2 linked regions of the Mus musculus genome follow. The protein of the gene in region 2 purifies or fractionates together with the protein of the main gene of each other region. This does not show direct contact. Links are inferred from orthologs where the notes say so. Each region holds a gene or a part of one and is shown on either strand. Other genes may lie near its edges. The genes, in order: Inhba and Acvr2b.

Region 1 (4,601 bases), on a different chromosome or scaffold from region 2:
TTAAAAAACAGTATTAACCTGCCTGCACAATAGAAAATGATACAATTTACAATGCCTATGGAGGTGCCAAAAAGTTGTAAAAGTCCTTTTAGCCATACTGACTTTTAATGTGTAGAGAGCTCAGAAGCAAGAATTTAAAAGCATTACCTTTCGGGTCCCTTCTGTTTTGTCAGCCGGCTCTTGTCTCATGAGGTCAGAGCTGTCTGAATTCCTCTTCATGGTATTGGCACTGTGAAGTTTTATACTGTAGTACTTAGTTGTACACTCACACATTGGTACCTCTCAAAGAGGAGGGCTGGGGCTTTGTTTAGGATTGGTTAGAATCAGCATGACATCAGCAGATGACTCGTTTTTCCAGTGTGAGACATTTCATAATTCATTATCTAATGGAAATCTCTCTTGGCTTCTGAGACAGGACCTGGGTGATGTCCTGAGCCAGTAAAGCCTGTGGCTAGGAATAGTCCACCCTTTACAAACATAAGAGAACCACATACACACATCTCCAAGAGTGTCCAGCTTTGACATTTTACTATTCATACATACACCTCTTATTAGATTCAGGTTCAGCCTTATGTCTATACATAAGACATCTGTTACTTCATAAAGTTACTTCTATTTGCAAAGCACCGTATTTTTTCCACAGCAAAGAAAATTCATAGTGTTCTTTATAGGAATTCTAGTATTATAATTATGATTATAGGAAAATATTTTTTTCAGGAAAATCTGTATGTCCATGTGGTGATGGTCTCCCTGCTTTGACTCACACTATTAATTTACACCTTGAAATTGAATGCCTGCTTCATACATCATTTATCACCTCGGACTTGGGAAATGGTCTTCCTTTGCAAGTGAACTTCATAAGTATCCTGCCTAGATGAGTCCCATCCTAACTAGCAAAAACAACAGTAACACACACACACACACACACACACACACACACACACACCTGCATCTTTTCTTTAAAAGCTAGAACTTCAAGTCCAATCATTTGTAAACACTATAAATATGAGTTTAATGAAAAGAAGTGAACTCTCCTTAAAATAGAAGTAAAGTTAGGTTTGGGTTTTCTTTTGCCTGGGTCACACTGGCAGGGAGATAACATAGAGAGAGACGAATGCCCCGATAAGCACAGTGAAGAAGGGCTGTTGTTCTCGGGGCGAAGTACAGCTAAGGCACTGACCAGGTTCTTATGACAAGTTGGATAAAACGTGCAAAACTGGGGACTAATGAAAGCCATATGACCAGATATGTTGTTTCGTGTGCCGGATTTAAGATGCATAAAATAAACTTTTCACTGTGCCCATAAGCAAACTGTAGAGGCTCTGGTCTCCTGATGTGAAGTGGGGAAGGTTTCTTTATGACACCAGGAGCTGTCTGTGAAAGGGTCTCTCTTGAGGGCTTTCAAAGTGTGGATGCTAGCTATATGTGGGGGAAGGGGAGGGGCAAGGGGAAGGAGTATTCTAAGATCCGCATAAGAGAACTGAAGTAGGAAATAAAGTTGCAGGGGAAAATGACAGGAATATGGGTGGCAAAGACAGAAAGATAATCAGTGATAGTCATTTCCATTCCAACCCCAACCCCGGGGTGAACATAAACCTTTGGAAGAGAGGCACTTCCATGCTGTTTGATAAGAATCCCTGAGCATCTAAACTCATTTCTTGCCTCACACATAACTTCAGGGAAAGTCCCACTTGCACCCGAATGTAGATTGTAGACTGGCTTGGCACAGAAAAGTGCCCGAATCAGACCCCAGCTCCGGGGCGCCCTCCTAATTTAAACTCAAGCCTCAGTGTTTCCATCTATAAAGTGGGATGTATAATTTCAGGATCAAAACTCAGTGGTCACAAAAGAATGTTATTTCGGAGCATCCCTGTAGTTTCTTAAGCATGTGTGTCATAAGAATGTTCAAGACCCTGACTGCAGGGGCCGCCTCACACAGGGTCACTCTGAGACCCTGTTGGCCTTTGACACCCTGAAAGTGCCAACCTGCTAAGCCAGTCTAGCAGCTATGACGTAGCTGAATCTCCCCCAACCTCAGAGCTGGAACCACTTTGGGAAAGCCTCCTCTCCTCCATGGAAATCCAGGTGGGGGTGGTGGAGGAAGCAGGTAGGTTAAAATGCTTCTGTGGAATATTCTGGGCTGAGGATCAGCGTTTCCCAGCTGAATTCCAGGGCCCAGGGCGTGCGCTGGTCAGCGCAGCTCTGAGCGGGGTTGGTTTCTCTTTCACTTCCTGCCCCTCCCGCGGAGACTCCCTGCACCCAGGCCCTGTCCCTTTTCAGCTTGCCACCGTACCTTGAGCAGCACCTGCTGGCAGTTTCCAGGGATCACTCCCGAATGCGCAGCTCCAGCCCGGCTCGCGGGACGCCTGGACTCAGGGGCCAAGCTGGTCCAAGCGGCCGCCTCTATTTTTACCCTGAACACCAGCAAGGGCAACTTCGTTTAAAAGCGCAGCTCTTGATTTTTCCCCCCCTTTTGGCAGCTAAAGAATTCAGGGAGGGGAAAGAAAAAAAAAAAATCACTGTTCAGTGAGTGCAGCCGGGAATCTCTGATCCCAGCCCTCGGTGCCAGGGAATGTCAGGGACCAGGACCTGCAGTGGGGCTGCCGGTCTCCTGGCCAACGGAGGCGAGCGGCAGCTCAGGCCCCGCACCCGCAGACTGCCCCTTCCCGAGTGTAGAGTTCGGTCCCACCGACTACCGCACTGGCAGAGTGGCCCGCTGCCACCGCGCTCTGCACCTAGCGGAGGCGTTCTGATTTACTGGCTACTTCACAAAGCTCCAACTCCACGCTGGCCCGGTGCTGCCTGGAGGAGCAGCCACTAGCGAACCCCGGGAGCAGCTTGCTGTGAGGAGGAGCCCGGAGGGAAACTGGTACCTTATTTTACTGTAATTGCAAAAGAAGAGATGTGCCAGAGATTTATATTTAGAAGTTGTATGTTTCTACTTTTATGTAAATGGAGCAATTAGGGCCTGTCTTGTTTCTGCTAACTCGGATGCGTGAGCATTGCTGGGGAGCTGGTGTTTTCAATCACAATTAGTGAGCTGGTCAAGAAACAAAGTTCCTTTGAGGATAGAGCTCCTTTGTGTGGATGAGGGAAACCTGCGTTTCAGTGCTGGCCGGTGGCTTGTGGTGACACACATCTTAGGGGCATAGCTAACTCTGGACTAGTGTGTTTGCCCTGTGCAGCAGCTGGGCCCATATAAAGTTGGCAGAGATCAAGTCGTGAGAATATTCACTTTTCCTCTCAAGCAAACCGTATGTCCTTAAGCTTTCATGCAGGCTATTAATCGCTCTTCCCTCACTATCCCTGAAGCAAGGAGACAGGCTTGGAAAGGAAGCCGTTTTCCACGACTCTGACTCTGTGGTTAGCTGCTGCTCACAGATCCTGTGATTCAGTGAAACATGCAAGCCAGAGAATGTGGACACCTTAAGCAGGTGACTGACAAGTGTCCTCTGATTCAACTGAATGACAGGAGGCTGGTGGTTCAGAGGCACAGACAAGCTGCTGATAACTCAGGGTGTTTGGTTCCTTCCTATGAAAAATCTGTTTCAAAAAAAAAAATTCATGATTTCTGCCTGCCTTGCTGGGAAAGTAAACATGAAACGTGACTATAAAAATGAAAAGAACCTTTGAGGTGTTCTCATCAGCTACGTGTTGTTCTGGGCTTAAGGGGTGGTGGGGGGGGGGGGAAGACCTGGCCTCCTTGGTTAGGGTTACCCTCTCCCCCACAAGAGACAGCACAACATCCAGAAAACATGGGCAGGACTCTGAATGATATTTGCTGCAGTAAACTGTGGAAGTCCCTGTCTAACCATCCCATCAAACGGCTTTGGTAGAGTATGGGGTTGGCAAACCTGTCTGTTTCCTACAGGCCACAGCCTGCAACTAGTTTGGGCCAAATGTTAGATACCAGGATTTGGGCCAGAGATGGAGCGGCACTTTGCAGTCAAAAATCCAACTAGGGGGCTGTGTGCTTCTAAGCTAGAACAAGAATGAATAGTTCAAAACCGAACTGGAAAGGGGGGCATTCACATTGCTCTGAACTGTATCCAAAACAACAAATAAGAGACGGTTAACCCCAAACTCCCTGATTCCTAAGACTCACATTTTTTCTCAGAACCACCTGAGTATCCCTTCAGGCCTCATGCTGTCTATGAGGACCTGCCTTCAGGATATTGAAGACTGTCATCTGAACAGTGGCCCCAGATGCTACAGTTAAAAAATGGGAAAAGAAAAAGAAGGAAAAATTCCGTAAGTAAAGCGTTGTTGTTCACTCCAGAACAGCGGTTCTCAGCTGAACTGGTTTCTCTCTCCGGGACATCTGACAATGCGTTCAGCTGTCATAACCAGGAAGGAGGTGCCACTGGCATCTACTGAACAGAGGCCAATGCTAAGAGCTCTCCTACAATGCACAGCACAGGATGGTGCCCACGCTAGAAAAATTAGCAATGATTATACAGTGAGAAGCCCTGAGTTAGAGTCATGATTTTAAGATTTCACCCAATTCCCTTTCCATCTGTGCTGCAAGAGAACTTGGAAACCCAGACTATAACACTGGAAAAGAATCCAATTATGCAAAGTATTAGTGATTGAAGTGACCC
Region 2 (4,473 bases):
ATTCATAATAGCAAAGCCCTAACCACCAATAAAGACATACAGGTCTTTGGAAGTGGGATCTCTAGGGAGTGGTAAGGGTGGATTAGACCATGAGGGTGGGATCCTGACTGCAGGATTGGCTCTCTTAAGGCACCCTGGCCTGGCTTCTAGAACCATGTTAAAATAAGCACTGCTGGTTTCTAAATACATATGGCTACTTTAACTGTACTTATCTCAGGAGTGTTTGTCTGCAACTATGTCTGTGTGTCCATCCACACACATGCCTGTTGCTCTCTTCGGAGCCAGACAGCAGGGGACCCTCCTGGAAGTAGAGTTCAGGTGTTAGGACTAGAACTTGGGTCCCCTGCAAGAGCAGCAAGCACTCTTAACCACTGAGCCATCTCTCCAGCCTCACACTGCTGTTTGAACCACCCAGTCCTGCGGTATGAAAGCAGTCAGAAAACACTAAAGACACAGCTATTTCTTTCTTTTACTAACAGGGCTGTTGGGAATTTTTAAGTTGAATATATCTGTCGAGCCCATGTTCCCGCTGGCAGCACCAATATACAGATCTCTCCTTTTTACCACAGAGCTGAGTAATTCCGAATATCAAGCCAGAAACATGAAGGAAAGATCTCTGAAGCCAGAGGCACAGGAAGGCCAGCTCTACCCCAACCCTTCAAAGTTTTCCTCCAGTTCCTCAAAAGAGAAAGCAGCAGCCACCACAACACAGGTGACTCTATCCCCAAAGGCAGAACCACAGGTTGAGTCAGAACACGTGCCTCTGTGTTCCGTTATGCACTCCCCCAAACAGTGCAGCAAATGTGGTACCAGGGATCCACTCTCACTCTGCCCCTCCAAATGGGAAGTGACTGGTGAGGTCAAACTGGAACAAACAGGAGCAGTGATGTACATACAGACTTCTAGTCTGAGGCGAACGGTCCTGAGACAATGCTTTCAACAAACCTAAACTTAAAAGAGGCAAGGCACATACATGTCCAGGTGCAGAAATCCAGTAAGTCAAGAGCCGACTAGAGGTTGGTCCTATAACTTGGGGTCAGCCTGCTGCCGCCCTCCCCGGAGCAGACCACTGTTTTCCATCACTTCCAGGCTCTCATTCTTGGGGTGAAAAATCTCTGGAGCAACACTTCGGGGAGTGGCAGAAAGAAACAAAATGTTCACCCTGAGCACCGCGTTGCCTCTACCACTCCAGGACAGCACTGAAACCGCTTCCCAACAGTGGGCTCGGGTAGCAAAGAAGTTATCTCTGCCCTCTGGTTCGTACACTCATGCTCCACCGCACCCAGGCTCGTGCAAAAACTCTCGGGGTCGGAATTAACAGCTAACCCTCACTACCTTGTAATAGAAAAGATTGAAAGTGAGGATCCCTGTGAGGGGGTGCAATGACCATCTGGGATACCCACCCCCGCAGCTGCAAGGGGGATCCCAGCCCTTCCCTACACTCCGGGCCCCGCCCCTCGCGGGTTTCCCAGACTCCGCGCTGCTGCCACCTCGGGCCGCAGGGGACCCGAGCTGCATGTGTAATGGGGGTTGGGAACAAAGACGCGCAGGACCCAGAGCCCCAGCCACCGGGCACCAGCCGTCCTAATCTCCACGATCTTTTCTCTGGAGTCTTAATGCCCGACTGTCCACGTTTCCTGGAACTGCCCTAAGCCCGCCCCGGAGCTCCTACAAAGTTGAGCACGCTTCAGCACCATCGGGACACAGAAATCAGTGCCTAGGCTTTGGGGGAGAAAGCGCTTTCCCAACACAACTTCGTGCGTACACACCCACACCTTCTAGTCCCAAGCAGACGCGCACCAGCTATCCACAGCCCGCAGGCGGCTGCGAGCTGACCGCGGGTCACTCACGCCCGCCACGTGCCGGCCGAAGCGATCTGAGACCTGTTGGTTCGCCTCTTCAACCCTTCTCCACTCCCAGTTGCCCAAAACAAAAGCGGTCCCACGAGGGCGCATCTGCGGCCCGCTGCAAGAAAAGCGGGCGCAGGTAGGAGCCACTCGCATGAGGATCGCGACGCGGAGTGGCGGGACGGGATGCAGAGGACTCCGGGCGGGCTATGGAAAGCCGTCCGCTTCGCTTTGCGACACCTATGACTCTCAGGGGCGAGCAGCCCCAACCCAGCCGCCCCCAATTAGATGCCCACCCCGCTTGGCCGCCTTCCCCACGCTTAGGTTTTCCCCGCTCTATCCCTGGGGTCCGCACACCCGCGGAACCTGAACCCCGACCCTGACGCTCCAGGTTCCCCCATCACCTAGAACCTCTGCGAGCCAGAATCGCGCAGAGGAACCGCACGGGCGAGCTCGCCTCTAAGATCGCAAGCACCAGAGCGCCCCGCGCGACCCCGATCCCAGGCAGGTGGCGCGGCGCCGAGGCCGCGGGGCCGCCCTTTGTTGGTAAACACCGCGCGCCCCAGGTCCCTGCACCCCCACGACGCGCCCGGTCCTTACCGGCGCACAGCGATCCCCAGAGAAGGGCGAGGGCCGCCCAGGGCGCCGTCATGTTCCGCGGCGCCGCCCCGCGGACACCCGGAGCCCGCGGGCAGGGCCGCGCTGCGCTCCCGGGGCGCGCAGGGCCCGGCGGCGGCTGCGCTCTGCTTCCCGCTCCTTCTCTGGGTCTCGCTTCCAGGAGCGCGCGCTTCTGCGCTTCGGTTCCCAGGCAGTATGCGGAGATAGGGGCTCAGGGCCGCTGCGGGCGGCGCGCAGTGCGGCCCGGGCTATGGGGCGACGCGGGAGCCGGGGGGCGGCGGCGGGGCGCGGGCCAGGGCGCGCCCGACGCGGGCATGGCGCAACGGGGCTGGGCCCGGGCCCCGGGCGCAGGGGCCGAGTCCGGAGGGGCCATGAACGGGGGAGGGGTGGGGGAGGGGACCTGAACCGAGTCCAAAATGGCTCCTGAGCGGTGGCCACGGAGCCGAGCCAGCGGGGAAACCCGGATGTTGGATACAAAGAGGCGGGCGAGCTGGGCGGGGAGGGGGAGGGGAGGCGGGCCCTCCGGCCGCGTGGTCCGCGCCCCCCTTGGGGGCGGGGCCGGAGAGGAACAACAACACCGAGGCTCCGCCCCCCAGCCCGCGCCCTCTGGAGACAGCGCGCCTGCAGCACCAGACTCTAGGGCTAGGCGGGGCGCGCTCTCCGAGCTGGTGGGATTGGACTGCCCACAACTTGGCTGGTGCTTTCCTGCCCCGTGCTATGGAGCCCACGCTACGGGATGCACGCTCCTCTGGGACCCCTGAGTGAGTGGGTAGCTCCTGGTCCCCATAACCTAGGACCTCTGCCCTCCAGCTCCCATTTATGGGCTAATTAATTGGCAGGAAAACGCTGAAGTCTGAATTGACAGCAGTTCCTCACAACGCACGCACAGTTATCTCCAAGCAGAGGAGGACCCACAGAGCAGCTGCAGGTGGGAAAGAACTGTTGGCGACCTGCTTTCTGAAGGATCCTCAGCAATCCAGCATCCTTCATCTTACCTTCAGCACTCCTCCCACCTCTAAAGATCTGTTCAGAACATGCCTCTGTTCCTTTCACACACGCACACACACCAGATCCCTCCATTTCAGATGTTACACAATCAGAGTGTGAGAGCAATCGGCCTCCCAGCTACACTGGAAAAGCCAGTCACTACTCAGGGGAAAAAAATGCTATGGAATCCTCGGATAGTTACCTCCTGCCTCACCAAGAGCAGTGGGTCATAGGAGGAAGGACGCTCCCCCCCGCCGCCCCCCCCCCCCAGCCTGGGTCATTTCATTTGCTCGAGCCTCGGACTTCCCTTATGAAAATGACGGTGTTGAAGTCCTCCAGACTTGGGTAGAGTTTCTTTCTGCTACGGCTTTGGTGTTGAGGTAGGGATCCTCAGCTTCCCAAGAAGTCTGCACCTTGTCTGACAACCTTTGCTCTTAAATGTGGTCTTTTTCCTCTCCTTATGTAATCCTCAGGTGGCCTCGAGCTCGCAGTCCATCTGTGACTCTTCCTATTTTTCGTTCGTTTATTGATTGATTGTGTGTGTGCTCTCTTGCCTGTATCTATGTGCATCCAACATACAGTCATATGTTTCCATATGCCCCGTGCCACCAGCACCCTCCATCTCACATCTGGGCAGCTTTAACAGCAGAGGGCTGAGGGGCTCCTTAGATGTCACTAGGGTCCATTCACGTTGCTAAGTGTATCTTCTATTTCTTTTAAGATTTTTATTATATTTTACTTATTTATATGTGTGTTTGTATGTGTATGTGTGCATGCATGTGTGTGTGTGTGTGTGTGTGTGTGTGTGTGTGTGTGTTAAGGAGAGAAGCAGACAGACAGAGACAGAAGAGAGAGAGCATGAACACATTGAGGTTGGATGACAACTTGCAGTTGGTTCTGTCTTTCCACTCTGTAGGAGCTGGGAATCAAACTCAAATCCTAAGGATTGGCATCAGGTCCCAGTACTTGTGAGCCATCTCTATGGTACTAGCACCCTTTCTAAATGGTAACTGAGGTGACT

Evidence for each region.
Region 1: the proteins of Acvr2b (region 2) and Inhba purify together in Homo sapiens (affinity purification with western blotting; 3 studies listed by BioGRID and IntAct, with this or other methods). This does not show direct contact. The link is inferred for Mus musculus from reciprocal best matches to the Homo sapiens genes ACVR2B and INHBA.

Annotation. Positions count from the first base shown.
Region 1 is NC_000079.6:16,010,079-16,014,679, reverse strand, and holds the start of Inhba (inhibin beta A chain preproprotein), read right to left. Parts: upstream 2,830-4,601; 5' UTR 2,590-2,829; exon of another isoform or gene 2,481-2,589; 5' UTR 2,294-2,480; exon of another isoform or gene 230-2,293; 5' UTR 148-229; intron 1-147. UniProt on the Homo sapiens protein: Inhibins/activins are involved in regulating a number of diverse functions such as hypothalamic and pituitary hormone secretion, gonadal hormone secretion, germ cell development and maturation, erythroid differentiation, insulin secretion, nerve cell survival, embryonic axial development or bone growth, depending on their subunit composition.
Region 2 is NC_000075.6:119,400,572-119,405,044, reverse strand, and holds the start of Acvr2b (activin receptor type-2B isoform 2 precursor), read right to left. Parts: upstream 2,868-4,473; 5' UTR 2,500-2,867; coding exon 2,448-2,499; intron 2,396-2,447; exon of another isoform or gene 2,252-2,395; intron 1-2,251. UniProt on the Homo sapiens protein: Transmembrane serine/threonine kinase activin type-2 receptor forming an activin receptor complex with activin type-1 serine/threonine kinase receptors (ACVR1, ACVR1B or ACVR1c).